Tamandua tetradactyla: one gene and its partners. The protein of the gene in region 3 interacts with the protein of the main gene of each other region in a pairwise test. Links are inferred from orthologs where the notes say so. Each region holds a gene or a part of one and is shown on either strand. Other genes may lie near its edges. The genes, in order: CABP5, cilium assembly protein DZIP1L-like, CEP76 and CRYBA4.

Region 1 (8,138 bases), on a different chromosome or scaffold from region 3:
CATTTTGTGCCAGGTAGTTTCCACAACTATTTTATTAAAGCTCAGGACATCTCTTTGTGGTAGAAGCAAATACGGTTCCCATCTTACCAATGAGGAAGCAAAGGGACAGAGGTTAATGAACCTGCCAAAGGTCACAGGCTTCGTAAGTGGCAGATCCCCTCCTAAGGAAGAGAGACATTTAACTACTCCCTCAAGGTCACACAGCAAGTCAGGCAAACACTGGAATTTAAATCAGGGCTCCTAACTCCCAGGTCAGAATTCTCTGCTGTACACCCCACTGACTCTTTTCTCCAACCTCTATCCTTTTTTTTTATAAGGGTTAGAATCCTGTTGCATGCAGCCAGTGTTCAATGGCATTCAAGATGCTCAGTGCTGGCACCATCAGTTCTACAACTTCTGAGAATTTTCCATCGCTGCTGCTCCCACCCCGCCTAGATATATCTGAAAGGTGAGGTCTCCATATATGGCATGCCACCTGGGAAATTTCCCCAACCTCTGGCCTGTTTCACCCCTTTTTCTCCCTTTATCTTTCAGCCCTTCAGCCTTTCCCCCAGCTCCTCTTTCTTATTATCTCTTTCACTGCAAACTCCCTCCCTCCCTTTTTTTCAGGACCTTGAAATAAAACAATTAAAAGTATGCCCATTAGAATCAAACAGTTCTGACCCTGACACTTACTAATTGTATAACCTTAAAGCAAGGAACTTCATGACTCACAGCCTCAGTTCCCTCACCTGTAAATGGGAACAAAAGTATCACGACCTTGGAAGTTGTTCTGAGAATTAAATGACCTCAGAATGCAAAGCCCTCTGTACAGGTTGATCTCATCGCGCTGACTTAATAATTGGCAGCTATTGGTATCAGCGTCATCATTACAATGTGTGTCCATAAAAAAGAATGATGATCATCGATAATGACATCGTCCTTAGTCCCTTTTATTTTTTAATTCTCCTTTTTCTCTTCTTTTTTGCCCTGTCTTCTGACTTCACCCTAGTCGACATGTCCCCATTATACCCCCTGGAATTTTTCTACCAGCTCCTTTCATGCTCTCTCTAGCTGTTTCCTTAATTCTGTTGCACCCATCACATTCTTTTCTGTCTCCCCTTGCCCTGCCCCTCTGCCTTGCCCACCATTCCCCACCGTCCCCCACCTCACCCGTTGTTTTTCAGCGATGCCTTTTCTCAAGAAGATGCAGGCGGGGCCCATGGGAAACTGCATGGAGGGGACAGGGCAGGGCTCACCAGGCACCAGTCTCAAGATGGTTCCCTCTCTTTCCTGTTGATACCTCGGCCTCCTGATCTTCTCTATCACTCCTTTTGCCAATCCTTCCTCTGCCTCTGACGGACTCTCCTGCAGTCCCTGCATTTTAGAGCTGTGACAGTTGGGTTGGAAATCTCTACCCAGGTTAGGGAGGGATCAGAGCTCTTCCTGTCTCCCCATCTGGCTTGAGTGAGATGGGAGGGGAAAGACAGCATCAGGCTCTGGCCTTGTATTCCCAGGATGGATTGGAAAAATTTTTAAAAATTGGGACTTGAGGGGAGGCATCATCTTGCTCGACTTTCTTTTTACTGTCTCTATAGTTTTGCTTTTTCCAGAATGTCACAGTTAGGATGATATAGTATGTGGCCTTTTTGAATTGGCTTCTTCCACTTAGCAATATGCATTTAAGGTTCCTTCAGTTCTTTTCATGGCTTGATGACTCATTTCTTCTTATCATTGAATAATATTCCATTGTATGGATGTACCACAGTTTGCTTCCCCATTCACTCATGCAGGACATCTTGGTTGCTTCCCGTTTGGAGCAATTATGAATAAAGCTGTTATAAACACTTGTGTGCACGTTTTTGCTTGTCTATAAATTTTTATCCCATTTGGATAAATACATAGAAACGTGACCTCTGGATCATATGGTAAGACTGTTTAGCTTTGTAAGAAATTGACCAATTGTCTTACAAATGTGGCTGCACCAGAAACCTGTCTTTTGGATTAGGGACCCAAAGGATTTGCTGAAATTTCACCCTTTACAGGGTAGTCCCTGGAAACTGAAGCAGCCACTGCAGGTTACACCCCCTTGTCGGTGAGCTGGCTCCCTTCAAAAACAAGAGGAGAAAGGATTGAGCCGAGTCTGCTCAGTTCCTTCTCCCCAAATCACTCAGAGAAGGTATCCTCCTCTGTCATGGTCAGGTTCATGTGTCAACTTGGCCAAGTGGTGGTACCTGTTTGTCTGGTTGGGCAAGTGCTGGCCTGTTGCGATGAGGACATTTCATAGAATTCAATCATGATCATGTCGGCTACATCCACAGCTGATTCCATTTGTAATCAGCCAAGGGGCGTGCCTTCTGCAATGAGTGATGCTTAATCTAATCACCGGAAGCCTTTTAAGGAGGATTCAGAAGAGACAGTCTCTCCTCCTGCTTCAGCTGGTGAGCCTCTCTTGTGGAGTTCGTCCAGACCTTCCATCGGAATCGTCAGCTTCACAGCCTGCCCTGTGGATTTTGGAATCTGCGTTCCTGTGGTCACGTGAGACTTCTATAAATTTTATACTTGCGAGTGTTCCCTATTGATTCTGTTTCTCTTGAGAACCCTAACTAATACATCCTTCCTCAGAGACTTCCTCTAGCTGGAGTCTCTGGGCAATGAAGACACAAGGCTGCTGCACAAACTCAAGAGCATACTAACCATACTCCCTTAAAATTCCCTTAAGATTTGGGATGCCAATAGTCACCAACACTGAGTGTGATCAGGCTGGAAACTAAAGCACATAGGCCCCTCCTTGAAAAGGGAAAACGTGAAATCTGCAATGTTAAGTCTCCCTTCAAGGAAGAAAGCAGCTTCAGTGACATGGAAACGGGGTGAGGCTGATGCATAGTCGTTGGGTTTATCCGAGTGCAGTGGCAGCAACTATCTAGATTTAGGACATATGAGTGCACTTCGTGCAACTCAGAAACAGTGGCTGGGTCTCTGAAGCAAAGATCAAAAGCCATGACTCAAGCTGCATTTTGCTTTCTGTCCAGTTTTTGTCTCATGGTTCTTTTTTTGTCTGTGTGTGTGTTTTTAACATCTTTGTTCCCTAACATCCAGCATCCTAGGAGACAAAAGGCTCCCAAATATAAATTAAGGACATATCCCTAACATAATTCCTGACAGATGAGATGGCATCTTGCCACACAGGTAACAGAAGACCCAAAATGAACTCCTTACCTACAAAGGGGCTCCCTTTTTCACACACCAAGAAGCCTGGAAGGAGAGTGCGAGTGTGACCACGTCCTTCCCGCTTGTCTGCCCAGTCCTGGATCGACCCTCCTCTAGCTGGTTGCCCGAGGGCTGCTGCAGATCCAGGGGAAGACACACAGGCCCAGTTCTCCCTGTGACACTCAGAAGGAAAGCTTTTCCAGAAGGCCCCCTGCCCCTAAGCCCTACAGACTTCCCTCTGCATTCCACTAGCCGAAGTTCCATCTCATTCCCCTACCCAAGCCATCCAGATGGATTACTTTGGACTCTCCATACCACCCTATGGGCAGGGCTCCACTTCCCTGAAGCACACGAAGGAGGGGAAATCAACACTCAGGGACGACTTAGGAAGAAGAGGAGTGAAGGGATGTTAGGGTTGTGCTGTTTTGAAACTTTTATGAACCCCAGAAAGGCTATGCTCTTTTAATCCTAATCCAATTTGTTAGGGACAGACCTATTGTAGGGTGGGACCTCTTGATTAGATTGTCTCCATGGAGACGCAGCCCACTCAATTGTGGGTGAGACATTTTGACTATTTTCATGGAAATGTGACCCCACCCATTCAAGGTGGGTCTTAGTTTACTTAAAAGAGCTCACAGCTGAACAGCGAGCTAACATAGAAAACCACTGGAATCAGAAGCTGAAAGCAATACAACTTGGGAGCAAAGGACCAGAAGATGCCAGCCACGTGCTTTCCCAGCTGACAGAGAAACCCTGGATGTGATCAACTTTTCTTGAGTGAAGGAATCCTCTTGCTGATGCCTTAATTTGGACATTTTTATGGCCTTAGAACTGTAACCTTGTAACATAATAAATCCCCTTTGTAAAAGTCAATCCATTTCTGTATATTGCATCCCAGAAGCTTTAGCAACCCAAACAGGGGTCAACCATCAGTGGCATCTTAGGTTTCACCTCATATGCCACTGGAGACCGATGGTGAGCCATGATCCAATGAGCACCTGCTATGGGCCAGGCATTGTTCTGGGATGGGATTAAGAGGCAGCAATGAGGAAAACAGGTATGGCCACTGCCTGCTCTCATGGCATTATGTCTGGAAAACTGCTGAGGTTCTGAGGCCATGTTTGAGCTTGGCAGGAAATAAGACAGGCTGCAAGGCCTCGGGGTGGCAGACTCCGGAGTCTCACAAGAGTCACTGAACATACTTTCTCTCAGGAGGATGGTGACTGTACCCAAAAAGTGGGGTGTCTGGAGCATGAGCGCTAAGTCAGAGCCCGGTGCTGGCACTCCCAGCTATGTAACCTGAGGTAGTATTTACCTTCTCTGTGCGTCCCTGTCTTCACCTGGGAAACAGTGTCACCAGGAAGAGTTGCTGGGAGGTGTATAGAGTTGGGACCGCTGCCATCCGATACAATGGCCGCTAGTCACATGTATCTGTTTAAGTTAAAAGTGAAATATTCAGGTCTTCATTGCACTGGTCTCATTTCAGGGGCTCAGGAGTCACTGAGCCAGTGGCTCTCGTATTGCAGAGCAGAGAGAGAACATTCCATCACTGCAGAAGGTTCTATGGAATCCATGCTACACACCACAAAAGTGTGAGCTCTTACAGCTGCCCCCCAGGGCCCAGCACAAACTTTGACACAGTAGATGTTGAATAATTATTTATTGAAAAAATTTTCAAATGAATCCCCAACCTCAGTTTAAACTTACCGCCCCCCCCACCCCCATACACACCTGAATCACAGACACCACAGACTTCCACAGATGGTATGTTCAAAAATAGAGGAGGCACCCCTGGGCTCCCTCCACCCCGACCCCAGGCCCCAGAAGAACGGGGACTTAGTAGAAATCTTCCAGGTCGGAGTCTGTGCTTTGCTGGTTCTGAATCTGACTTTGCCTCTTATACAGCTGAGCCACCTGAGGGGGGAGGGTAGGGGGTCGAGTCAGAAGCTCTCCGCCCACCTGCATGCCACTGCAGACCAGAGTTCACTTCTCCGAGAAACTGACAGGTCAGAAGGCTCCCCTGGGGTGACCTGCCCTCCTCCGAGGGCCTCACCTGGGCACTGGTGGTGGCCTCCTCTGGTGTTTTGTCTTCACGGACACGAATAAACCGAGGGAAGCGTAGGGAGATCCCCTTCTCGCTTTCCACCTGGGGGTTGGGGTGACACACCTGGGGTCTAGCCTGCATCCCCTCGCTGCAGCAACACCCTATGCAAAGTCTCCTCCTCCCTCCTTCACCCCTGGCCTCAATTTCCTCATCCATTCAGCAGGGATAAGTAATGGGCTGTTTCAGGATTAAAGAAGTGAATAAACATAAAGGACTTAGACCAGGACTGCACACAGTAAGCACTTAATAAAGGCCCGCTGCTCTAGCTGTTATTTAAGCCACTAATGCATCATCATGAGGTCTGAGAGGCAGAACAGCACAGGGTCAAGGGTGTGGACCCTGGAGGCAGAATGGGCAGCTGCAAAGCCCAGCTCTCCACTCTAGGGAGCCAGGTGACCCCGGGCAGTCACCTCAGCTCTCCTGGGCTTGTTTCCTCCACTGCGGAAGGGGACGCTTGTGCCACCACACTCAAGGAAAGTGTTCAATGCCAGCGCTCTACAGCGACTCTCTGACACAGGGCATGAGCAAGAAAAGCACATAATCTCCTCTTAAGACAATTAGATAAAAAACATGAGTCTCCTTTTCAAAAATAGAAGCCTGTTTCTAATTAGAAATGCTCATGCAGCTAGATTTTGAAAAGCCAGAAGAAACCTCAGACAGAGTGTATTTTTATCTGAGATTTACTGCTCTTCTGACGGAGAAAGACAAGAGCTTTCCTAGTGCTGTGAAAAGGGTTAGTGTCTTTCCCTGGTGGACAGTAAATGCTTTGGTGAGAGATATTAGTCAAGGCACCAAAACATCAAGGCACTAACAACAACGGGAGGTGAGGAAATGAAGCGACTGAAAAGGAAACTGCAGCAGTCAATGGAAATGGCTCAGCAGGAAGAACACGAAACTCTTAAAAGAACAGTGTTTTAAAAAATGATTAAAGAGCTGAATGTGAGATTATGACGGTTAAGGGAGAATTCCACTGTTTACTTTTTGCTACTGGAAAATTTTTCTTAAAAGAAAGAGGCTGTGGACTCCATTACCTGATACCCAAATAAAATGCAAAGCAATTTCGTTCCCTTCATCACCCCCCTGCAGAGCAGGCTTGTGCTGAGGCCTCCTCCTGTGTCCTGACTGCCCATCTGGGATTCCTTTAGGGTCTACCCTAGACCCTCCTGCTGCCCCCTGTTACTCACCAGGCCCCGGGCCGCAGGGTAGATGGGGGAGAGGGAGAGATCAGCACACTTCACCTCCCACACGGTGCTAGGCTCCAGCCAGTAGTCAGGTGCCACGGCACCATCTGCCCGGACGTAGGAGCGTGGGTTCGGCAGCACCAGGGCCTGCAGGAAGCAGTGGAGAGGGGGAGAAGAGAGGGTGCTGCATCTCAAAGCTGAGGCCAAGGCTGGGGTCAGGGAGTGGACAGAGGGACAAAGACACAGGCATCCCTTACAGTAAAAAGCTGGAGGGAAGTGAGGAAGAATGGAAAAAAGGAAGAAATAAAAGGTTGTCAAAAAGACCCACAGAGAGGGGGACAGAGACCCAAAGAGAGGAGTACCCCAAAGAATGGGGTAGGGCTCCAGTGGGTACCAAGAAACACCAGTGCACAGGACAGAGAGACTCCCAAGCTGCCCCACACCTGACAACAAGTACTTCTGCTTACTCAGGACTTTCTTGACAACACCTTCTCAGGAAGACTCAGGGACACGCCCCCCCCCCCCCCCCCCCCCCCAGCAGCACTCAGGGTAGCTCTGTGATTGCCCCCTGAGCTCGGGGAGATTGGGCTCCTTGTCCAGTGTCGCTGGCTACAAGCCGGTGGAGCTGAGTCCTGACCCAACTGGTTGCACTCCAAAGCCAATTCTGCTGCCCACCGCCCACCTGTTCATACCCCCACCCCACTAAGCTCCAGGACAGATGGAGACCATGAACCCTGCCCACAGAGGAGATGAAGAGAGTTCTGTGGCTCCTGGCAGCCACCCCTGCTCACCTGGAGGCTCTGGTAATACTCCTCCAGCTCCTCGTCACTGAAGCCAGTTCCAAGCTGTGGGGAGGGTACAGAAGGTCAGAGGTGCACCCTAGGACTTCCACCCCGCTCCCGCCACGCTCCTGCCACCTAAGCTTCCACTTATAGTGGCAGTTCCCCCCACCCTCACCCCACTCAGTTTTCCAGATTAGCCAAGTCCTACTACTAGACCAACAGTAGCCACAGAACAGAGAGGAAAGGGCTGAGCATCCAGGCCAGTCCCTCGCAGGACACTGAAACAACCCTCCTGGCCACCCGAATCCTACCAGCAGGGATAGGCTCCTTCTACCCCACCTCCCTAGCTCAGGAAGATACTCCCTTGGTCTCCCCTCTTCCCCCTGCCCAATAACTGACTGCCGTCATCTTCAATCTTAATCCTGCCAAGCGTTTTCCTGTAAAGGGTTGAAGTGGGTCACCCACCAAGACACGTTTGAGCCCTGAGCCTGGTCCTTGGAGGTAAACCATTCATACACAGGGTCTTTGAAGATATGATTAGTTAAGATCAGGCCAAACTGCATCAAGGTGGGCCCTAATCCAATGTGACTGGAGTCCTCAAATGGAGAAGAAATTTGGGCAGAGACAAATGTGAATGTTCCCGAGCCAGGGAGACAGCCACGAAGCAGAGCGCAGACTAAGTCGGGGACTGCCGGCCACCACGACAGCCCCACGGGCCGCGGGGGAAGACAGCCCTGCCCAAACAGCAACTTCAGACTTCCGGTCTCCAGGGCAGCGAAACAGTACGTTCCTGTCGTTCAAGCTAACCAGTTTGTGGTGCTTTGTTACAGCAGCCCAGGCAAACTAAGATATCCACAAAAAGAGTGAAAACTAGTAAATCAT
Region 2 (7,595 bases), on a different chromosome or scaffold from region 3:
ATTTTCCAAGTATAGTATTTTATCATCTGCAAATAATGAAAGTTTTACTTCTACCCTTCTGATCTGAATGTCTTTTATTTCATTTTCCTGCTTGATTGTTCTAGCTAGAGCCTCTAGCACAATGTTTTTTTCTTTTTTTTTGTTCTTCCTCATGCAAAAGCATTTTTTTAATTTGTACATTTAGTCGCTATCATTATACACTCTAGGCATTCCTAGATTATACCATCTCAGTCTTCATTGTCTATTTTTCTTTCTGATTTCATTTGTGGCCCCAGCCCTTCAGTTAAAACACTGAGCTTCATTCAGTGTTTTAACATAATTGTATTACAGTTAGGTAGTATTGTACTATCCATTTCTGAGTTTTTATAATTAGTCCTGTTGCACAATCTGTATCCTTTCAGCTCCAATTATCCAGTATCTTACCCTATTTCTATCTCCTAATGGTTTCTGTTACCAATGAAATTCTCCAGGTTTGTTCACTAATGTCAGTTCACATCAGTGAGACCATACAGTGTTTGTCCTTTTGTTTCTGGCTAATCTCACTCAGCATAATGTCCTTAAGGTCCATCCATGTTATTACATACTTCATAACTTTAGTTTGTCTTACAGCTGCATAATATTCCATCATATGCATATACCACAGTTTGTTTAGCCACTCTTTTGTTGATGGACATTTTGGCTGTTTCCATCTCTTCACAGTTGTAAATCATGCTGCTATAAACACTGGTGTGCAAATGTCCATTTGTGTCCTTGCCCTCATGTCTTCCTCCTGGTTCTGGTTCCCGGTTTCATTGCTTCCAGCTTCCGATGCCAGCAGTTTCTTCTGTAAGCATCAATGGGCATTCACTTAGCAAACCCAAGATGGAGGGAGGTGAGTGTGCATGTGGGCTTCAGCGCGGGCAGCTTTTAAGGATGGAGGTCTGGTGACATCTGGAAGGGGCAGTTCATTAGTTCCGGAAGTCAGGTTGGGAGGGGTGACACAGCCTCCGCAGCTCCAGCTGCAGTGCCCTTCCCCGTTCCCCCGACCTAACATTCCAGCCTTTTTGTGATAATAGGGCGCCGAGATCTTTCTGGCTACTTCCTGCTGTAATGGGGCGACGTGGGGTTATAGGCTGGAACCGTCATGGCCAGGGGAGTGGGGAGGCTGGCTGTAGGAATCTGGTGAGGAAGGCAGGTGATGATAATGATGCAGGAGGATTTGGTTGACTGCCACCCGGGATAGTTCCTTTATGTGTCCCTGAAGGAAGTTGAGGAGGCAGGGAGCCAATCTGTGGTGGATGCAGTGGTGAGCCGAAGGAACCCTTGTCGCTGGCCATGTGGAGGAAGGAGGAGAGAGAAAGCCCGGGCGCCTCTGGCCAGGCAGGCAGCACCCACGCTCCTCCCTCTAGCACAATGTTGAAGAATAGTGGTGACAGAGGGCATCCTTGTCTTGTTCCCAATCTTAGAGGGAAGGAAAGCTTTCAGTCTCTCACCACTGAGTACAATGCTAGCTTTGGGTTTTTTCATATATGCCCTTTGTCATATTGTGGCTGCCCCTTTTAAGGACATATGCCCTCCAGTTTGTCACAGTCCCCAACACTTCCTATGCCAACACTCCCTACTGCAGTGTTTCAGAATCAGTAAGTCTGAGGTGAGAACCTGCATTTCTAACAAGTTCCCAGGCGACACTGATGCTGCTGGTCTTGGGCCCACACTTTGAGAACCACGGCTTTACTTGACCTTGGACAGGAGCGGAGGAAGCAGTTGCTATTTCTCATCAAGCTCATTCTGTGACAAGCCTGTTTCACTCACTTAATGTTACTTTTCTGGCCCCTGTGGCATTTGGGTTTGCAGTTTCTGGTATAATTAGTATTGGATCCGTAGCCCTAAGAGAGAGATGGTCAGGACTGATGGGGCAGGGAGCGTGCGCTTGGGAGGCTGAGGCTCAGCCTTGGGCAGGCTGCGGTTAGCCGAGGCTGTGGGTATGTGTGGGCTCACCCCCAGGCAGAGGGCTTTAAGACCAGGCTAAGGGGTTTGGATTTGATACTGTGGCAACAAGCCATGCTGAGCTCTGGGGTGGGGGACATGGGTGAACAGCAGAATATTGGGGGACACTAGCCTATGCTGCCTTAAAGAATTGGGAAGGGATGGTAACCGAGGGAACTGGCTGGAAGGAGCAGTCAAAGGATGGGAGAGCTGAGAGAGAGTGGCTGGAGAGTGCTTTGCCTTATAACTGGGAGAGGGCTGTTGGCAAACATCTGAGGCCAGAGCTTAAAGAGTTAAGCAGTGGCGGTCCTCGGGCCAGCTCGGAGCCTGTGGGAGGACAGGAGGTGGGTGTCCTGTTACCCTTGTCCACCGCCTCCCTGATGACTCGCTGTTGCTCTGGGCACGGTGTGTTGTGAGCAATTGTCGCCGAGGCTTGGGTGACGCGGTTGCAGCTTGGAGCCGGGCATGGTGAGTATCCTGTCACCTGCCCCCTGTTTCCCTCCACCTGGCCCGTTACATTGGAGCGTGCCGGTCTTCCTTTTGTGGCCGTGGTGGGGTGCTTGTGGCTGCATATTTTTGTGGCTGCGTATTTGTGTTTTGGGGTACATGTTGGGGGCGAGTATCAGGGAGGGGAAGGATGGGAGCTGAAGCTGAAAAGCTGGGTGGGTGGGGTCCTATGGGTGGGCTTTAAGACCAGGCTAAGGGGTTTGGATTTGGTACTGTGCCAACCAAACACGCTGAGCTCTGCGGTGGGGGATGGGGTGTGCGTAATACACTTGGGGAGCCCCAGCACCCACCACTGGGCCCAGCACACATGGCCATGCAGCAAATGGGAGGGCAGTGAGTAAAAGGATGCATTGGAGATTTGAGGGATGAAATGTGATCATCTGACCAAAGCAAAAATTTAGGATAAATAGCCCTCAAAATTAATGTTGGGTGATTCAAATCCAGCTTTGGAGCCAGATGTACCTGCAATTGTACTTCAGTTGTGCCTTTCTTACCTGGGGCAAGCCACTTAAGTGCTCCGGACCTCAGTATCCTGGTTTGTAAACTGGCATGATAATACCTGCCTGTAGGTTTGTATTTGGCATTAGGGCCCAGCACAGAGGCTGGCACCCCTGCATATTGGCCGGTATTATTAGTGAGGGATTTCCCCCTCACTTCTGCCACCCTCCCAGGGGCCTGGGGGCGGGCAGGGCAGGCTGAACGCCACCTTTCACAGGTGTAGACAGCAAGACGGCTGGGGCCAGGCGTGCTGCTGAGGGCCTGCCTCTCTTTGCAAACCTGATGGTTCCCTGAGTCCTTTTTCTCTTTCATGAGGTCAATGATCTTTCTCTTCTCTAACTTTCCATTGTACAGAAAAGTCTGAATCACATAATCTAGAAAGAACTTGATTAGACAGGGTGTTGTGTACCTCTTGTTGCCCCAGTCAGATTCTAAGTTCTTCAGTGGCAGAAATTGTATATATTTTTTTCTTTTAAAAAAGATGAAAGTAACAGATGATGATGAGAAGTGACTTTAATAGTACTGAGAAGTGGAAAGTGCAAAGTAAAGGTCTTCTGACCTCTATTTCTATTTTCCAGCAGTAATTATAGTGAACAGCTTGTGGTCTCTTTCCAGAAATAGTCTGGAAATAAAATAAAATAAAAATAATATAATGAATAATAAATAAATATATTTTATACAAGTTTGATTACATATTATATATGAATGATAAATATAAATAACATATGCGTACATGTATTTCTTTTAGTTAAGGATTAGATATTGTTTTTATTTTAAAAACATTTTTCTTTTTGGAGTAGCTATACGTTTACCCCAGAAAAGTATGCAGAAAATACAGAGCACCTGTCATGTATTTCTTTTATGATGTGGAATACAGATGTGCTGTACAGAGGGCTGAGTTAGTCCTGTTCGTTATAGCATTGTGTCGTTGGCCTGTGAAAGGCCTATCATGTCCGTCTGTCTTTTTTGTCTGTGCATCTGTCTATCCATCCACCCATCTCCCACCCCCACATCATCCATCTGCTAATTTATTTATTCCCATTTCACACTCCCATTTCTCTTCTCCCTTGTATAAAACCATTCGAATGTGCATGTTTATATATGTATGCATTCTTTATTTTGTGAGTTATTGTTAAATGTGATCATATAAATAGATCATTAAAAATAGGAAAAAATATATATATACACATACACACACCTTGTTCTATATCTTCTCTTTTTCATGCAACGTATTTCAGAGATAATTCCATGTCACTGTGTGTAATGCTGCCTTATTCTTTTCCATAGTGGCACACAGTACTTCATACTTTATTCACGCAGTCCCGCCCCGTTCTTCTCCGCAGATTCGGCCACACTGGCACGTGCAGACACTCTACAGCTGCTTGCAGACACCTGGCTCGCCCCACCGGGGCGCTGGCTGGGCAGGAGTGCAGCGCCGGCAGCCCCTGCAGCCACCCGTCCTGGCCTCACTGGGACTCACTTCTCTTCCCCAGGCCTTGCCGCCGCTCGCGTTCCTGCTGCCGTGGCCTCGGGGACAGCCGTCTTACCCCGCCCATGCAGCCCGCCGCCGTCGCTGCCCAGGGCCTCGGCGGGCCCCCCTTCGGGGCCTACACCCCGCCCGCCTTCAAGTTCCAGCCGCGCCGCGAGAGTGTGGACTGGCGGCGCATTAGTGCCCTGGACGTGGAGCGCGTGGCGCGGGAGCTGGACGTGGCCACCCTGCAGGAGAACATCGCCGGCGTCACCTTCTGCAGCCTGGACCGGGAGGCATGCAGCCGCTGCGGGCAGCCCGTGGACCCCGCGCTGCTCAAGGTGCTGCGCCTGGCGCAGCTGACCATCGAGTACCTGCTGCACTGCCAGGACTGCCTGAGCGCCGGCGTGGCCCAGCTGGAGGCGCGGCTGCAGGCCAGTCTGGGCCAGCAGGAGCGTGGCCAGCAGGAGCTGGGCCGCCGGGCCGATGAGCTCAAGGGTGTGCGCGAGGAGAGCCGCCGGCGCCGCAAGATGATCAGCGCCCTGCAGCAGCTGCTCCTGCAGACCGGCGCCCACGGCTGCCACCCGGTGCGGAGCCTCCGCGGGACCCCGCAGGGGCGGGCGGCGTGTCCCAGCCAGGCGGTCACCCCCCACTTACGCTCCCCCCCACCTCCCCTGCCGCACCAGCCCCGAGGCCTCTGTGAGGCTTCTCCTTGTTCAGAGTGCAGCCCTCAGCTGGTTTGGGCCTTCAAGAAATGTATAGTTTGGGGGTAGGTGGGACAGAAGGAATCATTATGATAGAATGTTAATTGATAGAATGATAATTGATATAACTGCTGTAAGATAGAGTTAATTACCTTACAAAGGGTTAGAACCCTTTCAGCACTCTAACCTGGTTTAGGCCCATAGGAAATTTATTGGTTGATTTTAACTGAAAAGGTTTGGTGGGTGTCAGGTGTGGCTTGCCCCAGGAATCAGATATGGCTGCAGAATCGAGTTTCTTGCTCTGCAGCTCTTGGCTCTTCTTCCTCTGTGTAATTTAGTTACATGGCTTACATGGTTGCAAGAGAGACTGGGACGTAAAGTCTTTATTTTCAGTGACATCATGACTTGCTAAAAATCAAGGTTTCTGTTACAAAGGAAGGGGAAAATGCATTTGGGGACGCCAACTGGCAGAGTCTGTTCCATTGCCTTTGTGCAAAGATAGCAAATAGACTTCACTTTACTCTGCCCTCTTACTCTGATTGATTGGCTGTGGCAACCTGCAAAGTTTTCCTCTGAAGTTTTACAATGGAAAGATAATATGCAGTGACTGACATGCATTTAGGAAACGGAAGTGGAATTACAGATGTTATTTATTTGCTGTCTCTGCCTCTGGTGTTTTTTCACCCTGGGATGGGGCTTGGGCATATTTTAAAACTTTCTACTATGGAAAATTTTAAACACAGTGATAGAGAGAAAGTCACAATGAACCTTTATCTGCACACCACCCAGCCACTCACCAACTCTTGGCTGATATTTTGTTTGTTCCTCTATCCACTCTCTCCCACCCCTGGATTATTTTGAGGCATATTTGTCATATGATTTCATCTATAGATATTTCAGTATGTATCTCTGAAAAAGCAAGAACTTCCACTTTTAAGCATAATACCATCAACCGCACCAAAAGCCAACAAAACTCTAACCTCATCCACAAAACTTTGTCACCATCATCAAATATCCAGCCGGTGGTCTTGGTTCCCCAGGGCATGGGTAGTTTTAAAGCTCCAGGTGAGTCTGGTGTGCAGCTCGGATGGGGGACTCGCTGGGCTCAGTCGGTCAGCTCCATTTCCCAAGTGGCTCAGGGGGCCTGAGGGGTGGGGAGGACTCCGGGCCGACTGGGCCAGGCTAATCCTGTGGCCCCCCCTGTTTCCTCTCTGTGCAGTGCCACCTGTGTGACAAGACGTTCATGAACGCCACCTTCCTGCGGGGCCACATCCAGCGTAGGCACGCGGGCTCGGCCGACGGCGGTGAGCGCTGGTGGCACCCTGGGGCGGGGGCGGGCCCGGAGCTGGTCTCCCGTGGGTGGAGGCACCTGCAGCCCGGGGTCTGAGCCTCCTCGGCCTGTTGAGGACGTGATGTGCGCGTGTGGGGCTGGGGAGCGTGTCTGGCCGCGGGCAGGGAAGGTGGATGGCGAGGTGGTGTCGTCTCGGTTTTGTCCCTGTCTATTGTGGGACCTTGGCCGTGGCTTCCCCCTTGGGGTCTCAGGGGCCTCTGCTGAGAATAGGGGCAGCCGGACCCCTGCTCAGAGGTCCCTTTCCTCCCAGCCCCCTGCGCACCTGGCGTTGTCTGAGACTACTGGCAAGGAGCGTAAATGAGCCACTGACCAGCTTTTTGATTTTTCTATTTACTCGAGTATATTATCATGACTTCATCATTTTAATATTACCATTTCAAGTTTTGGCATGCTTTTTGCCAAAAGAGGTATGCGAAAAAGATCTGTGGACCTTTTTTTTGAGGTTCAACAAGAAATATCTGTTAAAATAGCTAAATATAAAAATCCCCATTTTTCTTATTCCCCATCTTTTAACTCCCCTTTCAAAGAACAGGTTTAATATTTTCAAATAGTAGCATTTATTTAATTATGATGCATTTATTATGTATCTAATACTTTTTGGAGCTTCATTCGAGGCTGCTAAGGAAAAACATTTCCCATTTGTTAAATAATTTTTTTCTGATAAACATATGTCTTTGATATAGGAAATTTAAATACAGAAGTATAGAAAAGAGAAAATAAAAAATCATGCATGATATTACCAGTGGTTAATATTTTGGTGTATTCTCTGTCAGTTTTTTCTTTATATCTGTATAAACATTTAGTATGCAATTTTGACTATTGCTTATTTTCATTTAAGGATGTATCACATTTTCCATCGTCACTGAATCATTTTTGCAAATAGGATTTTTAATGGCTGTATGGTGTTCCCTCATGTGGCTATCATAATTTATTTCATAGTTTCCTCCTGTTAAATATATGTCTACTTTATTTGTCTACTTTAAATCACATGATGTTGAGCATTCTTGTGTGTAAATCTGTGTGTATACCCCTGATTATTTCTTAATGTAAAGTCCTCCTGCAAAGTGAGGGAAATGTGTTCTCAAGACAACTTTTATTTATT
Region 3 (7,803 bases):
CATGTAGAATGGAATGATTTCTAATTGTTTTGTTAATTCTTTTTTTAATTAATAAAAAAAAAATTATGGTTAAGGAAGAAAATGCCAATGATAGGACAAAGCACTGAATCAAGAGTAGGTAAGATAAGGTACCCACCAAAAACTCCCTTGTTTTCCTAGAAAATGAAAATAATAAAATCTTAAAAGCCTCCATAAAAGATGATGCAACTGATCACTCCTAACACTAAGTAATTAAACTGTCTTCAAACAATGCCATCCCAGATATTACAGTGTCATGGTATGCTAAGCCCCAACCAACAGCATTCCTGAAAAACCCTAAAGAAAACCCAGGGCTCTATATAAGACTCTATAAAAGTTTTACCTATAAGTTTATTTTTCAGAAACTTAAAGCCTCCAGATTGTTCCTATGCCAGATAAGCCCTGAAACTCAGAGGTACCTATTTCTCCCAGAACATCAACCAGTTGCAACCCTATACCCCATAATGTCAACACCCCCTTTAAACATGAAGTTAGAATGGTCACTGACCAAATATCCCTGAAAACAGAGAGAATGATCAAATGAGAGGGAGAGGAGTTGTAACAGAAAAGTTAGAACTTAACAAATGATTATGAGCACTGAATCATTATACAGATATTTCTGTTTAGTTTCTAGTGCATTAATACAGCCAGAAGAAAATACCTAAAACTGTAAAACTGTAACCCACACTACTTTGAAATTTGCTCTATAACTACTTGTTAAACTGTTCTTTGAAATTTATCACTTTCCTGTATAAAGTGATTTTTTATTATTCCACAATAAAAAATGTTTTTTAAAAATGCTATCCACAGAAGTGCTAAAAAGTTAAACTTTCTCTAAACCACATATAACATCTGGCTTATGTTCCATCCTGAACTGATTTTAATAAGGAAGTGGCAGTCACACAGCAAAAGTTGTTATTAGGTCAATTTTTATAACAAACAGGTTTATAAACCTCAAAAACCAAAAAAGGGCACTGCATTAAAATACTTATTCCCTAGTGTATTACCAAGCCCATTTTAATTTTTTGTTATATTACCCAGGTATTGAGGTCACAGTTTCTCATTATTGCCTCATTTTCAAAAGAAGGCCTACTTACTAATCGTGCACTGAGAGGCTAACATGCCACTACTGACCTATTTGTATGAAAAGATTTGAAAGACCTTAATCAGTTATTTACTTACAGAGATTGATAATTTGTTAATCATAGAAAACATAGTTTCCCCCCAAAGCTTTTTAAAAAAATAAGTGTCAATCAAAAAAATTACAGAACAAGTTTAGTGAAAAAGGACTTCGATGGTGAACTAATTTGACTGAAACATGCATATTTAAAGTTACTGACCCTAGTGAATAATGAGGAAATTCTGACACCATGGAAAAAGGAATATGACATATAACTCCAATTTCACTAATGTTTAATAATATATGCTTTGCTCAAGGATAGTGTCAATTTATACTTAAAACAAGGATGTTATTTGCAAAACAGCTTTATTTTAAAGTGGTCTTACTAACAGCAGAGGTCCCAAATATGGACCCTATAAACAGTGGTAAGCATGAGAATACACTTACACTCTCAATTATTTACCCCAAAAGATTACTCACAGTAACAAAAGTAAGTTCTTTCATCACATCATCAATGATTCCTCGACGTCTAAGGGCTTTGATTAAATCCTCTGTTGATAACTGCTGTTGATCAGGTGCTAATTCTTCACGTATAGTCTCAGCAAGGATTTCTCTTATTCTGCCATGGACATCCATCTATGTAGAAAACTTGCATTACATTTCTTTTACTCCTAATGAGCACAGATTATCAAAGCAACCAAATGTTGCTAATGTTGATTTCTTTCTAAAATGCTAACTTACAGTAATAAAGAAAAAAAAAGGGAGGAGGAGATCAAAAGGCCACATCTGGGGAGCCTGAGCTTTAGGTGTTTCAAGCTAAGGATAAATGTAAAATTGTAACTACAATTCAATGACAATAAAAGTAAAAATTTTAAAAGGAAGAAACAAAGTAATTTTTTAAAAGATGAAACTTCCAGTATAAATTCTAGAAAAAGAGTCTATTGACTACCTGTTGTCTTTGTTACCACTTCTCCACAAACAATGCTCAACACGACGTATATTTTGAGAAAGAGTAGAGAATAATCAAAGAACAGAAGCCTGGACAGGGCAAATCAAAGTCAAAATTATAGCTTTCAGTTTATTAGACGTGTAACCCTGAGTCGATTTATTTTCCCTTTCTGAATCTGTTTCCTCATATACAAAATGGGAAAAAATGCTACCCTCTTATAAGATGGTTATGAAGTTTAAATAAAAGGTGCTAAACACTGAGTGTAAAATCTGGTACACAAATTAGTGCAAAACAAATGGTAGCTTATATTAAAATTATCTCCATGTCCAATTTTTCTTCCTTCAACTTATAATGCATTCAGTTGGGCACTCAAAGACTCAGTGTCATTCTTGAGCTCGCAGTATCCCGAATACTCTCCTTACAAACATTTTAGTCACTTCTCTTCCACGATTTCTCCGCGAAGTGGCGCTTTAAGCTACTGACTCAACTTCAACGGCATCCCCACTACCACCCTGAGAGTAATCCCAACGTCTGATCCGTGAATTTAAAAACACCTGCTCCAAACACATCCTCAACTATCTGGCTATCGGAAATCACTCGATAAGAGCTTCATTTTCACAGCCGTCCTGCAATACCAAAATCGCCTCAAACCCTCTGTAGGCTCTCGTCGGAGGGGTCCATCCCCTGCCCACCTGGGAGCCCCAGCCCCGCTCCGGCTTGTCCCCACGCCGGCCCCGAAGGCCGGCCAACGCTAACCCTGCCCGAACCCTCGCTCGGCCCTACCGGGCCGCAGCTCCCACCCCGGCCGACCCTGCCTCGCCCCGACCCGCCCCGACCCCCGCTCACGCCCGGGCCCCAACCCTTGCTCCCGTCCCCTCCGAGCCCCGACCCGGCCTGCCCTCGCCCGCGGCGTCCTCACCTTGCTCAGCTGCTGGTGGATGAGCTGCTTCAGCTCGGTGGCCTTCTCCGGGGGCAGCGACATGCTGACGGAGCCCGGGCCGCCCACCCCGCGGCCGCCAGCGGCAGGACGCGCCGAGCAGCACCGCGCTGCGCCCAACCGCCTTCAGACCCGGGCAGCGCCGGCAGAGCTGCCCGCGCCGCGCCTGACGGGACCCGCGCCGCCCAGCGCGCAGGCGCCGCCCCGGAAGGCCCCGAGCCCGGCGCCGGGGGAGACGAAGGACCCCGCCTCGCTTCCACCCGCCTGCCGGCCGGGCCCCTGGGGCGCGTCGCGTGGAGACGGCGCGCGCGTGGGTCCTTCTCTGCTCGCTCGCGCTTCCTCTCGCCGCGGCCATGTTCGTCCCCTGCGGGGAGCCGGCCCCCGACCTGGCGGGCTTCACTCTGCTGATGGTGAGTGCGCGGCCCCGCCTCGCCGGCACGGGCGGTGCGGGTTTCGGCCTCAGCCGCGGCGGAGGCGGCGGGCCCGTTGCAGTGCCGACTCCTGCTTCCGAGGGAGTCTTGGTGGTAAAACGTGCTATGTTCGGAGATCACGCAGACCCTGCACTTGGTTCGTGCGGCGCATTTTCCTTAAATTTTATCCTAGGAAATCTTCCAGCTGCTTCTAGGGTCCGCCTTGAGCCATTCACCAGAGAACGAAAGAGAGGAGTAGTCCTCTGTCGGGAAACGCCATAAATGCACGCTTGGGCCATGTTTGTACTAGCCTACAGTTTAGTGAATGGCGGTAGGTTTACAAACAATGAGAGTGAAAAAAGAATAATGGAAGTGGTAATAGTAATGAAAGTGACGTTTTTGCTCGTAGTTGACACGGTTTTATTGCTTTTGCAATTGGCTACATTCATTCGTCCTTTCAGTCAACATTCTGCCAGGTGTGAACGTTAGAATAGGACTCGGTCCCCGGCCTCGAGGAGTTTACAGTCCAGTGGAGGCCTGTTACGAAGAACTTCATAGAAAAGTAATGTCTAAAAGGCGAGGAAAGTGGGGCTTTTTTGGGGGGTGGGGTAGAAAGTAGAGCATTCCAGAAGGATGGACTTTTTAAACCAGAGGCACAAAAGCATGGGGTTCTGGGGCACGGCCCAGAGTGAGGAATGGCACTTTGAGACAGAGTAGGCTGCAGGCCTGTAAACCCAGGAGGCACCTTTGGAGAATGCAGTTTGGAGTGGTGCAAAGCTGGAGAGAGACACAACAGTCATTCTTTTATATATTAATTATCAAGCACAGAAATCCAAAGAGAAGAGTGTTTCAGGAGAGAGGGAGGGACATCTGTCAAAAATAGTCCAGACATTGTGTAAGTTGAAACAAGTGTCCTTTTGGGTTTAGCAGCGAGATTACTCATGGTAACCCTGGCAGACAGTTAGTGGAGTGGTAGAGAGGGAAGCTGTATCAGGTTGGGTTGAATATATGAAAGAAGAGGACATGGATACTTGTGTATATATGTATTTCATTGATTCTGAGATAAAGTTCTGCTTAGATTTTAGTGGCCAGTATCAGGGAATTTTGGCAATCTAGGGAGTCTGAGAATTGAGGTGGTAGTTAGAGAGGTGGGGTCAAGGGAGGGTTTTTTAGAATAAACAGTATTAGAGCATGCTTATATGCCGATGGGAAGGATCTGATAGTGGGGAAAAGAGAGATGATACAGAGAAATACAAAGAGACTACAAGCAGAGTAGCTAATTGAGAAGGGAAAAGGGTAAACAAGAAATTAGTACATGATGGCATAAGATGTGGGAGACCACTTTGAGGGAACCAGCAAAATATATGAAGTCCAGAGAAAAGCAATAACTGGATGAATGCAAAGGAGAAGCTGTAATAAAAAGTTAAATCAATAAAAATTAGTCAGATATTAGATGTAGTTGGTAATGGAAAGGGAGGAAGTTTCCTGGTTTAGGTAATTGAGTAAATAATGTTGCTATTTTGTGAACTTTAAAATGGGGGACAAGTTTTGGCAAAAGTTAGTTTTTTACTTGTTGACTGTGAGCTGCTTGTGACATAAACACATAGAGCTATCCATTAGGCTCTGGGTTTCAGGCAGGTGTCCTGATGGGAGGTTGGAATTTGGCATTTGGGTTGTTTGAAGTCAATTGGGGTAAGTCTGTGTATGTGTGAATATACACACGAAACATGCACACGTATGCATATATGTTTAATGTGAAATTCACTCCAGCTATAGGAGTGTGCAGAAAAAGGCACTAACAAAGCAAACTGAAAGAAGACTCACACACGCTTTTGTTCATACCTTACAGCTTTTACACTTTCTTTTCCATTGCCTGCATCATTCTTTTCCCAGGTTATTACATGACTCTCCTTTTCCTTCTTTAGGTCTTAGGTACTTGTCACCTGAAGTGAGTCTTTCCTCTGTCACTGTTTTTAAAATTGCAGCCATACACACACACACACACACACACACACTCATATATGATATCCTTTTTCTTGGCTTTAACCACTGTATATTTTATTATATATTTTACCAGTTTATTGTTTATTATAAGTAAACCACTTTCACTAGAATGAAAACTCCACCACAAGAGCAGGGATTTTTGTCTGATTTGTTTTACTGCTTCCCCAGTGCTTAGAGCAATAATTGACACATAGTAGGTCATCAACAAGTATTTGTTAAATGAGTGGCCTCAAACGTGGAGATGGCCCAGATGACATTTCTGTTACCCTTAAAGAAAGTGTATCAAGCGAGGCACCTGAGCATAACTATTCAGTACTAACTAGTGCTGTGATTGCCTTCTAATTTTTTTTAAATGTAACTAATTCCTACGACTTATTAATCATCGTTTATGGTTTCAGCCAGCAGTATCTGTTGGAAATGTTGGTCAGCTTGCAATAGACCTGATTATTTCCACACTGAATATGTCTAAGATTGGTTACTTCTATACTGATTGTCTTGTGCCGATGGTTGGGAACAACCCATATGCAACTGAGGAAGAAAATTCAACAGAACTCAGTACAAATACTGAAGGTAAGGCCTCAGAATGGTTTGTTGTACTACCTGGTAGAGTTGTTTTAAATTAGGATAGATTCTGTGAATACTGTTTCAAAGCAAACATTTACTTAGTGCCAGCTTTGTGCAGATTGTACAACCTAGTTGCACTGTCCTATTCTCTTACATCCTGGTTTTATTTCTTGTTCTTTTCTAAATGGCAACTCCTACAAGAGATGTAATTGTTCTTTGTATCTTTGTTTAGAATTTTAAGATTTCCTCTTTTTATTACCCTTCCATCCCAACGTGGATTTTTTTTTTCCCTTTTATCCTCAGTTTTATTTTTTGTTTTTACTGGCATGTATAATTATCACCACTGATACCTGGGAAAAGGAGAAAAGAAAAGGGTGCAGTCCTCCATGCTTAGCATGTGCTCCCTCTTCTAAGCCTCAGTCTTCTTGCTGCTTAACTATAGAATCCATAATACTATGATATAGATGATAAGACCCTGAGAGTCTGAGTTCTCTAATGCCTGGTGTAGACTTTTGACTTAGCATAAATTTCCGTAATTCTTCATTGGACAAATCAGACTTTTTTAATTAGGGAACATAATTTACATTGCACTGACTGCTGTTTGGTTATAATGTGGGAGAGAACCAAGAGAACAGAGGAAAGACACCTGTTGTTCTTGAAGACAGGAATATCCACTTTGTTGATGGCTCTGTTAGCCTCTCTATCTTCTGTTTAACATTTTAAGGTCAAAGCCAAAGGTGATGGGGCCCATGAGAGATGCCTGGTGGATTGAAGTACAAATGAAGAAATATTTTTATTTTTTTGTCAGTTTTATTAACCCTGTCATTTATTCTTAGCTTACAATGATGAAATGAACTTTTGAGAAATAATCTTAATTGAAATTCCTGCAGGAGAGATGGTTTTGTTAACATAAAACCCATGGTTTTGTTGACATAAGATTGATGATTTTGTTAACATGAAAGGCTGAATTTTAGTTATTGCCTTAGAAGGTATATGGCTAACACTCTACTACATTTCATTCTTCTGTTAATCCCAGTGAGTGTGACTGTCCTCCAAAGAGAAGACGGGGGAATATCAGTAAAGACTTAGCTGTTCTCAAAACCCAAAAAGTTTAGCATTCTTAAAGATGATTTTATTGGTCTTAATACCAGTATTTTCCAGATGAATGCTTATCTGGGTAAACTGGTGGTACTAGAAGTCCTATACTTTGCACTAATGACAACAATCATTTATTGAGCATTTACTATGAGCTGGACACAACTTCACTTTACATGTGTTAATTCCCTTAATCCTCATGCCAACTCCAAAAGATAGTCTTATAGATGAGGAAACCATGGTTCAGAGAAGTTGAGTAATTTGTTCAGTCACATAATTAATAATTGGTGGAGCTGGGATTTTAATCAAGGCAGTCTGGCTCCAGAGACCTGCCTCTTAAGCACCACATCATTCTGCTAGCGCACCTTTGCTCTACTTAAAGGTCCACTTACTCTCCTCTGACACAGACTGGCCCATTGTCTTACAGGCTCTCCCACCTTCTGCATTTACCTGATTACTTCCTTCTGGTGTCATTTGGCTTGTGGGTCTAGCCCCTGTATTTTCTAAAACTGAAAGTTTGATCTTGAGGATTGATTAGGTTTAAGTTAAATATTTTTTATTAGAACACATAAAAGTAATGTTGCTTTCATACTGTATCACATCAGAAGAAAGTATCAAGGTCTTAGCAACAAAAATAGTTGCATGATATAGAATTGAAGGGTATGGGTATTGCTCTTATAAAAAATGGTATATCTGCATTTTAAAA
Region 4 (7,987 bases), on a different chromosome or scaffold from region 3:
CCTAGCAATCTCCTTCCAATCCTTCTGGAATTATGTTGGCTAATATAGTAACCACTGGTCACATGTAGCTAATTAACTTTAAACAAATAAGTTAAAATGGATTGAAATTTCAGATTGGGTTCAGTGACTCTAAATTAGGCAGTGCAGATATAGGACTTTTCCAACATCGCAGAAAGTTCTGTTGAACAGTGTTCATCTAAAGACTCTTAGTTCAATGGCTGAGAGATTCCAAACAGAGTCAAGAGATTATCCTGGAGGTTATTCTTACGCATTAAGCAGATATCACCTTGTTATTCAAGATGTAGTGGAGAGGCTGGAGGGAACCGCCTGAAAATGTAGTGCTGTGTTCCAGTAGCCATGTTTCTTGATGATGATTGAACAATGATATAGCTTTCACAATGAGACTCTGTGAATGTGAAAACCTTATGTCTGATGCTCCTTTTATCTACCTTGTCAACAGACGAGTAGAACATATGGAATAAAGATAAATAATAGGGGAAACAAATGCTAAAATAAGTTCAGTTTGAAATGCTAGTGATCAATGAAAGGGAGGGGTAAGGGGTATGGTATGTATAATTTTTTTCTTCTGTTTTCATTTTATTTCTTTTTCTGTTGTCTTTTTACTTCTTTTTCTGAATTAATGCAAATGTTCTAAGAAAGGATCATGATGAATATGCAACTATGTGATGATATTGTGAATTACTGGTATATATGTGGAACGGAATGATCATATGTTAAGAATGTTTATGTTTCTTTCTTGTCATTTTTTTAATTTAAAAATTAATAAAAAGAATCTTAGTGTACTGTGAGTGTGCCCTTAACACCTCCCTACATCCACTGCTCTCTCTTTTTATTTATTTGTCTAACAAAAAGAGCTCAGCCTCACTCTCAGAGCCTCAATCAGGCACCAATATTTAGCTAAAATTTAAAAGCATCATTTTTTTACTGTATTTATTCTTCTTTTGGCAATTGATGTTGGCTTTTTTTTTTCTTTGCATGGGCAGGCGCTGGGAAGCTGATGTTGGCTTTTGATTTATGCTAATGGAACATTTCTGCCCTGACACTCTGTTCTGAAGATCTGCATCCAGCGGGCAAGATCCGTGTGCATCAATCCCCCTACACTTGGCCAGTGCACAGCCTGCGCAACCTGACACGGCAGTCCTGCACGCCCTCCAGCATCTCAGACCCAAGGAAGACACAAAGGTATGCAATTAGAGTCTGGGGAGAACATCTACAAATCCCAGCCCTCATCTCTGGGTCCCTTCCTGCCTCCCCTCCCCTCCCTCACCGGGACCCAGACTGGGCGCTCCACCCGCCCGCCGGACTCACGCGCCACTCAGCACTTTCAAGGATCTCACGGTCTCGAAGCCAAGCTCCAGCACGCTGGGACACTCGGACGTGAACTCGTGCCGCCAGCCCTGGAAGCTCTCCTCATCCCACACCACGACCTAGGCCAGAGAGAAAGGGTGGAAACCAGCCTCAGAGCTCGGTGGGGTCGGCCGAGGGGCTGGGGGCACCCCGAGACTCAGAGTGGGGCAGGGCAGCAAGAGGAGGCAGCATAGCCGGGATTGCAAACTCAGATGCGTCCAGGGGCAGGGCCAGGAAGGTAGGTGAGGAACTGTGGGGACCTGGGGAGCAGGGGCCCCACGTAAACGGGGGTATGGGGGTGTGCGTGGGGGAAGGTCTGCTCGGCCGACCCTCTGGTTTCTCACGACGATCACTAACATCCGAATTAGGCGGAACCTCCAAGTTTTTGTAAGGCTGGTGATAAATTCATGTTATTTAAAAAGCACAGAGCAGGTCTAACAAATCATGCCTGAAGACCGCATGCAATCTTGGCTACCAGTGTGAGCTCTCTGCCCGAGTGTGTTGGTTAATGTTTTGGAATTTGAAGTCCCAGGTTCATATTGGGTGTGACTTGGGCAAGTCCCTGTCCCTTTCGGTTGAATTAGAGCAATCGGCCCTCTCCTTCTAAGGGTGACATGAGAACTCAGTGAAGTTGGGGGATGGGAAAGGGGGGGGCGAGGGGGTCTCTGCACTGGGTTTGAACCCTGTCCCTGCCCGCTCCCCCACCGCCCCCAGCTGGTATCTCTTCCTACCTTCCAGTGTCCCGCTGACGTGGTGCACTGCAGGGTCATGTTGGCTCCTTCCTACGAAGGAGAAAGCATCCCAGTCTTCCACCCTGGCTCTGTTTCTCCTTGACATTGACGGCTGCTTTGGGCCGAGTCAGGATCCGCCTGGGGCAAAGTGTGTGGCTTTGTGTCCCTCTCCTTTTCTGTCTGTGAGCAGTGCCGTGTGTCCTTTATCTCCTTCCTAGCACCATCTCAAAACGTACCCATTCTGTGTCCATCCCTTGGGCCCCACCAAACTGCTTTATCCATGCTCCAGGAGAATGTTTCTGTGGCTGCCAGAGGGTGGATGCTTCATGCCTGCACGTGTCATAGTGCTCAGCTAAGAGTGCCTTCCCACGACAGCACCTAATGCTAAAGGGGAACTCTGATGGTGGAAATTCAGGCAATAGGACACTAAATGAAGGTAGGCAGGTACTGTTCTTGACGCCTTGGCTAGGATGAGGATGGCGTCCTGGGTGATGCAGTCATGGGATGTTGGCTCCCCGCCTCCCGGGATGCTAACTGATCCTGCCTCTTCCCCAAGCCTAGGACTTACCGAGATGGGCCCAGAGAACACTCCAGAGTCGGGGCTGGCCAAGGCCAGTCTCTTATAGACTGCGCCGGGACAAGGGGCCCCAGAGAGCAGAGCCCTGACTCAGCAAGCAAACAGCAGAGACAAAAGCAAACCCTGGCCGAAGCCCCCACGGAGAGGTGTCAGCAGCTCTGGCATCGGCTGGGAGGGAACGGTCCAGCTCGCCTCCCCCAGGGATCAGCTGCAAAGAAGGTGAGGGAGGTAGGGCTGCCATAATCGGACCCACAGAACTTCTGTCTGGAGCGGTAGAATGAGCACTAAATGGGGAGTCCGAACCTCATTCTTGTCCTTTCCAGCTGTGTGACCCTGGACAAGTCATGCCCCTCAGTTTCTGCCTATAAAATAGAACAAGACTAAACTCCTTTGTGAAGTCATGTAACATGCCTGGCACAGAGTAAAGATACAACAAATGCCCATTCCTTCCCTCCTCTGGCCCCTTTCCTCTTCCAGCTGGGGCAATCAGGGTAGGCTTCATAGTGGAGGTGGCATGTAAACTGGGTTGGGACGATTGGTACAGAGTGAGATGGAAAGAGGGGCATTCTGAGCAGGGGAAACAGTGGGAGCAAAAGTGCAGGGGTAGGACTCGTGGCACCTGTACAGGAAAGAGCTGGTAGCCCAGTGTGTCTGGAGCTCAGGGGTCGTGAAGGGGCAGAGAGAGAAGAGGCAGGAGAGGTAGGCTGGACCAATGCCTGCAGGCTTCACAAAGCCGTGCTGAGTCCCTCTGGCTTTGTGGGAGAGCAAAGTTGCTGCTGGGTGGGAAAAGGTTTTGCAAACTGTGAACACCTGCCAAACATCCTTGGTCTTAGAATTTGCTTTGTGCATCCTCTCCCCTCAGCTTGCCCCCTGGGCTGGCTGACAAGCGGCCTCTCACAGTGTAAAAGGGGCCAGGTGGCTTGGAGTGAACCCGGACCTGACTTTTACTACCTGGCTGAGCTGGAGGCTGGCTGAGTCCTAGCTCATGGCTATAAAATGGCTACATCAGTTCCCTCCTGGGAGGGTTAAATAAGGTTCTATCAAATGCAAGCCTTCCGAGCAGGTTGCCACAAAAATGAAACCCAGCCTCTGCAACCAGACAGCCAGGCTTCGAAGCCCATTCTTGCTGGCTGGGTAACCTTGAGCTTGTTACTTAACCTCTCTGAGCCTCACTCTCCTTGTGCGTAAAATGGGTGTCAAGATAAACGGGGTTTAACCCAAGGGAGAGGGGTATTGAGGATTAATGTGAGTGACAAAAGATTAGCACTTAGAGCTGCTCCTGGAACTTAAAAAACATTACATATCATCACCACCACCAGCATCATCATTGCTGTCGGGGACTGACTCGTGCCCCCCACAAAGACAGGTTCAAGTCCTAACCCTGGGTCCTGGCAGTGTGAACTCGTTTGTAAATAGGATTTTTGAAGATCCTATTAAGATGAGCCCAGATTGAATCAGGGAGAGCCTTAATCCGGTATGACTAGAACCTTACAAGCAAAGGAAATGTGGAAATGGAAGGAGAAACCAGAAAAGGAGAAAAAGGAGGCAGATGGCCCGGGCACGGAGGCAGAGCCTGAGCCGCCACCACAATGCTACAGGCTTCGGGGAAAGCGTCACCCTTCTGACGCCTTGATTTTGGACTTCTGTCCCCCAAAACCAATACAGCCAATCCCTATGGTGGAAGCCAACGACGCTGGTATCTTGTTACGGCAAACTAAGGTGGTTGTGGATAATAACAATGATGCCTATTAAATAATAATTTTTTTAAATGCTTTTAAAACCTAAATGAGGCTAACCACAGAGACCACCCCCTACTCTCCACGAGGACATAGTGAGGGTTAATGGGGCCAAGTCAGTAAAGAACTCAGAGGGGAGCTAGATGTGGGGGCCCCCCAGCCTGCCCCAGCCCTGCTCTTTGGCAGGCAGCCCCTTGCCAAGGGGGAGAGACGAACCACCCGGAGGTGGCCTGGCCTCTCAGCCCAGGACCAGTGGGTGGTCCCCACCGCAAGGACCTTGGCACCAGCTCCAGTAGCTGCTGCATCCTGCCCCCCACTCCCCACCCCAGGTCTTGGCCCGGGATGAAAGGCTGAGGGGGAGGGAGGGAAGTGAGGGGGCGGCAGGCTGGGTGGGAAGAGGGCAGAGCCGGCCCCCCCCGCCCCGGGTCAAGGAGATGTCCAGCAGAGCCAGGCTTCAGGGGAACCTGAGCAGTCCCCCAAGTGGGGCTGGAAGGGGGCAACCCCCGGGCCCCTCTGGCCCTGACTCTGCTGTGAGGTCACTGTGTGACCTTGTTCAAAGTTGCTTATCCCACCTGGGCCTCAGTTTCTCCATTTGTGAGATCAGGGAGTGGGACGATGGAGATTTTGCATGTGTGTCCTGAGTCGTTCTTGCTCTACCTCCACCTGTGTGTGTCTCTCTCTTTCTCTCTCCGTGTGTCTCTGCCACCCATCACCCCCTCTGCCCCTGTGTCTCTGTCCCTCTCCACCTCTCCCTGTCTCCCCCTGGAGCCCACCATCTGCTATGGCCCCTTGGCATCCATAGAGCATTTAATCACCAAATACTGAGCAAGGGTCTGCTGTGTCCAGGTATGGTGAGCAAGATGTGGCAGAGTTTGGGATTTCCCAGCGGAGGCATCAAGCCGGCCACCAGCTGTGTCCCAGCTGTGTCCCTGGGGTCAGGTAATGAGGAGTCTACATGCAGCTGAGAAAAGGGCCAGAGAGGAATCCAGGCTCAGTGGCAGCTGTTGGAGCTGGACCCGGGCCTTGAAGGCTGCACCCACCCCACCCTACCCCCACCCCTACCCAGAAACAGGCTGGGGCCAAGGTCAGACTGCAGAGAGTTAAACACACAGCCTCTGGAGCCAGCCTGGCCTCCCTGCCCTAGCTCTCCTGTCTGTGACATAGGTCTCATCAAAACGCCAGAGATGTCGGGACGTCCTGGGCTGGAGGGAGGTGGAGTGGTGGAGCTTTTAGCACCATGCTCAGCTCACAGTGCTCAGGAAACTGGGCTGTCACCGCCATACCCACGTCTGCCTCTGCAAAGCCTTGGCCTGGCTCCTCCTCGCCTTCTTTCCTGCACCGCGTTCCTGTAGGGACAATTGCACCCACTTCGCAGCTGCAGACACAGAGCCAGGCTGGGCTAGAGACCTGCCCTGAGCCGCACAGCGCCTAGTGCCAGAGCCAGGCTTCAGTCCCAGGTCTCCTGCCATCCCAGGGGCTCCCCCTTTGCCCTGCCCCAATGTCTGGCGGCCAGCAGGATCCCCGCGGACCCAGGAATGGTGGCAGAGAGCAGGGCTGGGCTGGAAGGTGAACCCTGCCATCAGGGCGTTGGCTGTGCCTGCGGGGCTCACAATGGAAAGTGCTGCTCTCGGCAGGAATGCCGGTGGGGCCGGGCCAGGACCCCACTCACCGCCCCGGGTCTGCTGAGCCAGCTCCCCCTTTGTGCCACACAGACCACAGGGCTTAGTGTCTGCCAGACTATAAAATGGGGGGTCGGCCCCTAGTCACCCACAGGACCCACCCGCCCGGTCGTCTGTCCTGGAGCAGGAAGTAGGAGCAGGTCCCCAGGTAGGGGGGACCCCACTCTGCCACTGACAGCTGAAGGGGAGGGAAAGGGGAGAAGGCCGTTAGAGAGGGAGGGGGACAGATGGCCAAAACAAAAGAACCTGAGATATGGACAACGGAGATAAAGACAGAGAGGTAGGGAGAAGTCAAAATAGAAATAAAGAACAGCTAGAGAAAGACAAGCAGAGAAAGGGAGAGAAGGAATGAGAACATCTCCTGGAAGAAATGAGTCAAACTAGCAACCCAAAGAAGTGTTGATTCATATACTGAGGTGGGGGGAGCAAGGGCCTAGAAACCACAGATGTGGCCCAGATGTCTGGCCTGCACCCCAGAGGCTGGGGGAGAAATCTGCTTGCCCCAACTAGCTCCTTCTTATAGAGAGTGTTCTGGGGCCACCAGGACCAGAGAGTCTTCTTCTAAACTGTCTGGGGGTGGGGGGGTATATGGAGACTTGACATAGTCTCCAAAATTGAAGGGAGCATATTTTTTTTAAAGTCCGGGCACAAGGTCTAAGCTTTCCTCAAATACTCAATGACATTCACGACCCCAGCAATGAAGAACCACTGGAATTGACCAAAATCCTCTCCACCCAAAAGCCCACACAGTTTTCATTTTTAGAATCCCGCTGGGCACTAAATACATTCCCTTGGGCCCTCCTTTATGCCCTGCTCTCAGGCCTTTGGCTGCACCCACACACCCATGCCCAGAGAATTCCAGAGGTAGCAGTTGGAAAAGGAGACGGGAACGTGCATTCATTCGTTCTTTGAACAAATGTTCACTGAGAATCCCTGATGCGCCAGGCACAAATCCAAGTACTGGTAATGGAGGGATGAATAAAAAGAATAAGGAAGTGGCAGAGCATTTTAGCACCCAGTTGCTGGAATTGAAATCAGAGGCCTACCACTTACGAGCTGTGTGGGCTCCTAAGCTTCAGTTTGCTCCCTGGGGAGAATGTCTACACCTAGCCGGTAGAGTTATGGGGCAGATGAATTAATTACCTGGCATATGGTAAATAGCCCCAAATGTGCCTTGTTGCTAGTAATAAACATAACAATCTGGTGAGGCAAAAAGAAGCCCTGCGAGAGAAAATGATAAGTACGATTTTTGGTGTGAAAACCTTCAGCAGGCTAAGGAAGTACCGAGCAGAGTAGAAGGAAGGGCAAGGTTGGTGGAGGGAACAACATAACCAGAGGCCCAGAGGAAAGGTGGTCAGCTGGGGTGGTGAGGGACGATAAAATTCGAGCCTTCTATTTTAGAAGGAGCCTGGTAACACAGGGTGAGGGAGTGTAGAGTGGGGAGGCAGCGCGAGGATGCTATCCCTAAATTAACCCAGGCCAAGGATTTCTTTGCAGTCTCTTGCAAGGAGGAACCATGTCTCAAGCTACGAAGGCCTTGGCAACAGCTGTGATGGACCCAGGGCCTGATGCCAAAGGGAAAGGGGCCCTGCCCGCAGGACCAGCCCCGGCCCCCAGCCCTGCCCTGGCCTCAGCATCCACGCCCAGTGCCAAAGTGGGGGGATTTCCTCCTGGAAGCTACAGGGTAAGGACCTGGGGCCAGGGTAGCTGAGCTCACCCCTGGCTCCTCTACCCTTGTCTCTTCTTTCTCCCTTCTTCCTTTTCTCCTCCTTTGTCTAGTTTCTCTCTTTTTCCTTCCTCTTCCTCCTTCTTCACTTCCTCATCCTTTCCCTCCTGTCTTTTTTCTCCTTTCCTCTCTGCCTTTGACTCTCTCCTTTCCTCCTTCCCAGACACAAA

The links.
Region 1: the proteins of CEP76 (region 3) and CABP5 interact in binary tests that used the Homo sapiens proteins (3 or more experiments, as listed by UniProt). The link is inferred for Tamandua tetradactyla from reciprocal best matches to the Homo sapiens genes CEP76 and CABP5.
Region 2: the proteins of CEP76 (region 3) and cilium assembly protein DZIP1L-like interact in binary tests that used the Homo sapiens proteins (3 or more experiments, as listed by UniProt). The link is inferred for Tamandua tetradactyla from reciprocal best matches to the Homo sapiens genes CEP76 and DZIP1L.
Region 4: the proteins of CEP76 (region 3) and CRYBA4 interact in binary tests that used the Homo sapiens proteins (3 or more experiments, as listed by UniProt). The two-hybrid records come from large-scale screens. The link is inferred for Tamandua tetradactyla from reciprocal best matches to the Homo sapiens genes CEP76 and CRYBA4.

Annotation. Positions count from the first base shown.
Region 1 is NC_135342.1:13,060,392-13,068,529, reverse strand, and holds the start of CABP5 (calcium-binding protein 5), read right to left. Parts: upstream 3,078-8,138; 5' UTR 1,363-3,077; coding exon 1,153-1,362; intron 1-1,152. Other genes in the region: LIG1 (DNA ligase 1), read right to left, coding at 5,026-5,103, 5,243-5,335, 6,478-6,621, 7,266-7,319. UniProt on the Homo sapiens protein: Inhibits calcium-dependent inactivation of L-type calcium channel and shifts voltage dependence of activation to more depolarized membrane potentials. Involved in the transmission of light signals.
Region 2 is NC_135341.1:82,033,230-82,040,824, reverse strand, and holds the start of cilium assembly protein DZIP1L-like, read left to right. Parts: upstream 1-4,516; 5' UTR 4,517-4,524; coding exon 4,525-5,025; intron 5,026-6,361; coding exon 6,362-6,446; intron 6,447-7,595. UniProt on the Homo sapiens protein: Involved in primary cilium formation. Probably acts as a transition zone protein required for localization of PKD1/PC1 and PKD2/PC2 to the ciliary membrane.
Region 3 is NC_135344.1:76,585,705-76,593,507, forward strand, and holds the start of CEP76 (centrosomal protein of 76 kDa), read right to left. Parts: upstream 3,134-7,803; 5' UTR 3,070-3,133; coding exon 3,007-3,069; intron 2,769-3,006; exon of another isoform or gene 2,642-2,768; intron 2,320-2,641; exon of another isoform or gene 2,088-2,319; intron 1,775-2,087; coding exon 1,619-1,774; intron 1-1,618. Other genes in the region: PSMG2 (proteasome assembly chaperone 2), read left to right, coding at 3,378-3,434, 5,837-6,008. UniProt on the Homo sapiens protein: Centrosomal protein involved in regulation of centriole duplication. Required to limit centriole duplication to once per cell cycle by preventing centriole reduplication.
Region 4 is NC_135331.1:36,171,645-36,179,631, reverse strand, and holds the start of CRYBA4 (beta-crystallin A4), read right to left. Parts: upstream 3,023-7,987; 5' UTR 2,668-3,022; intron 2,151-2,667; 5' UTR 2,139-2,150; coding exon 2,100-2,138; intron 1,449-2,099; coding exon 1,330-1,448; intron 1-1,329. Other genes in the region: CRYBB1 (beta-crystallin B1), read left to right, coding at 7,608-7,775. UniProt on the Homo sapiens protein: Crystallins are the dominant structural components of the vertebrate eye lens.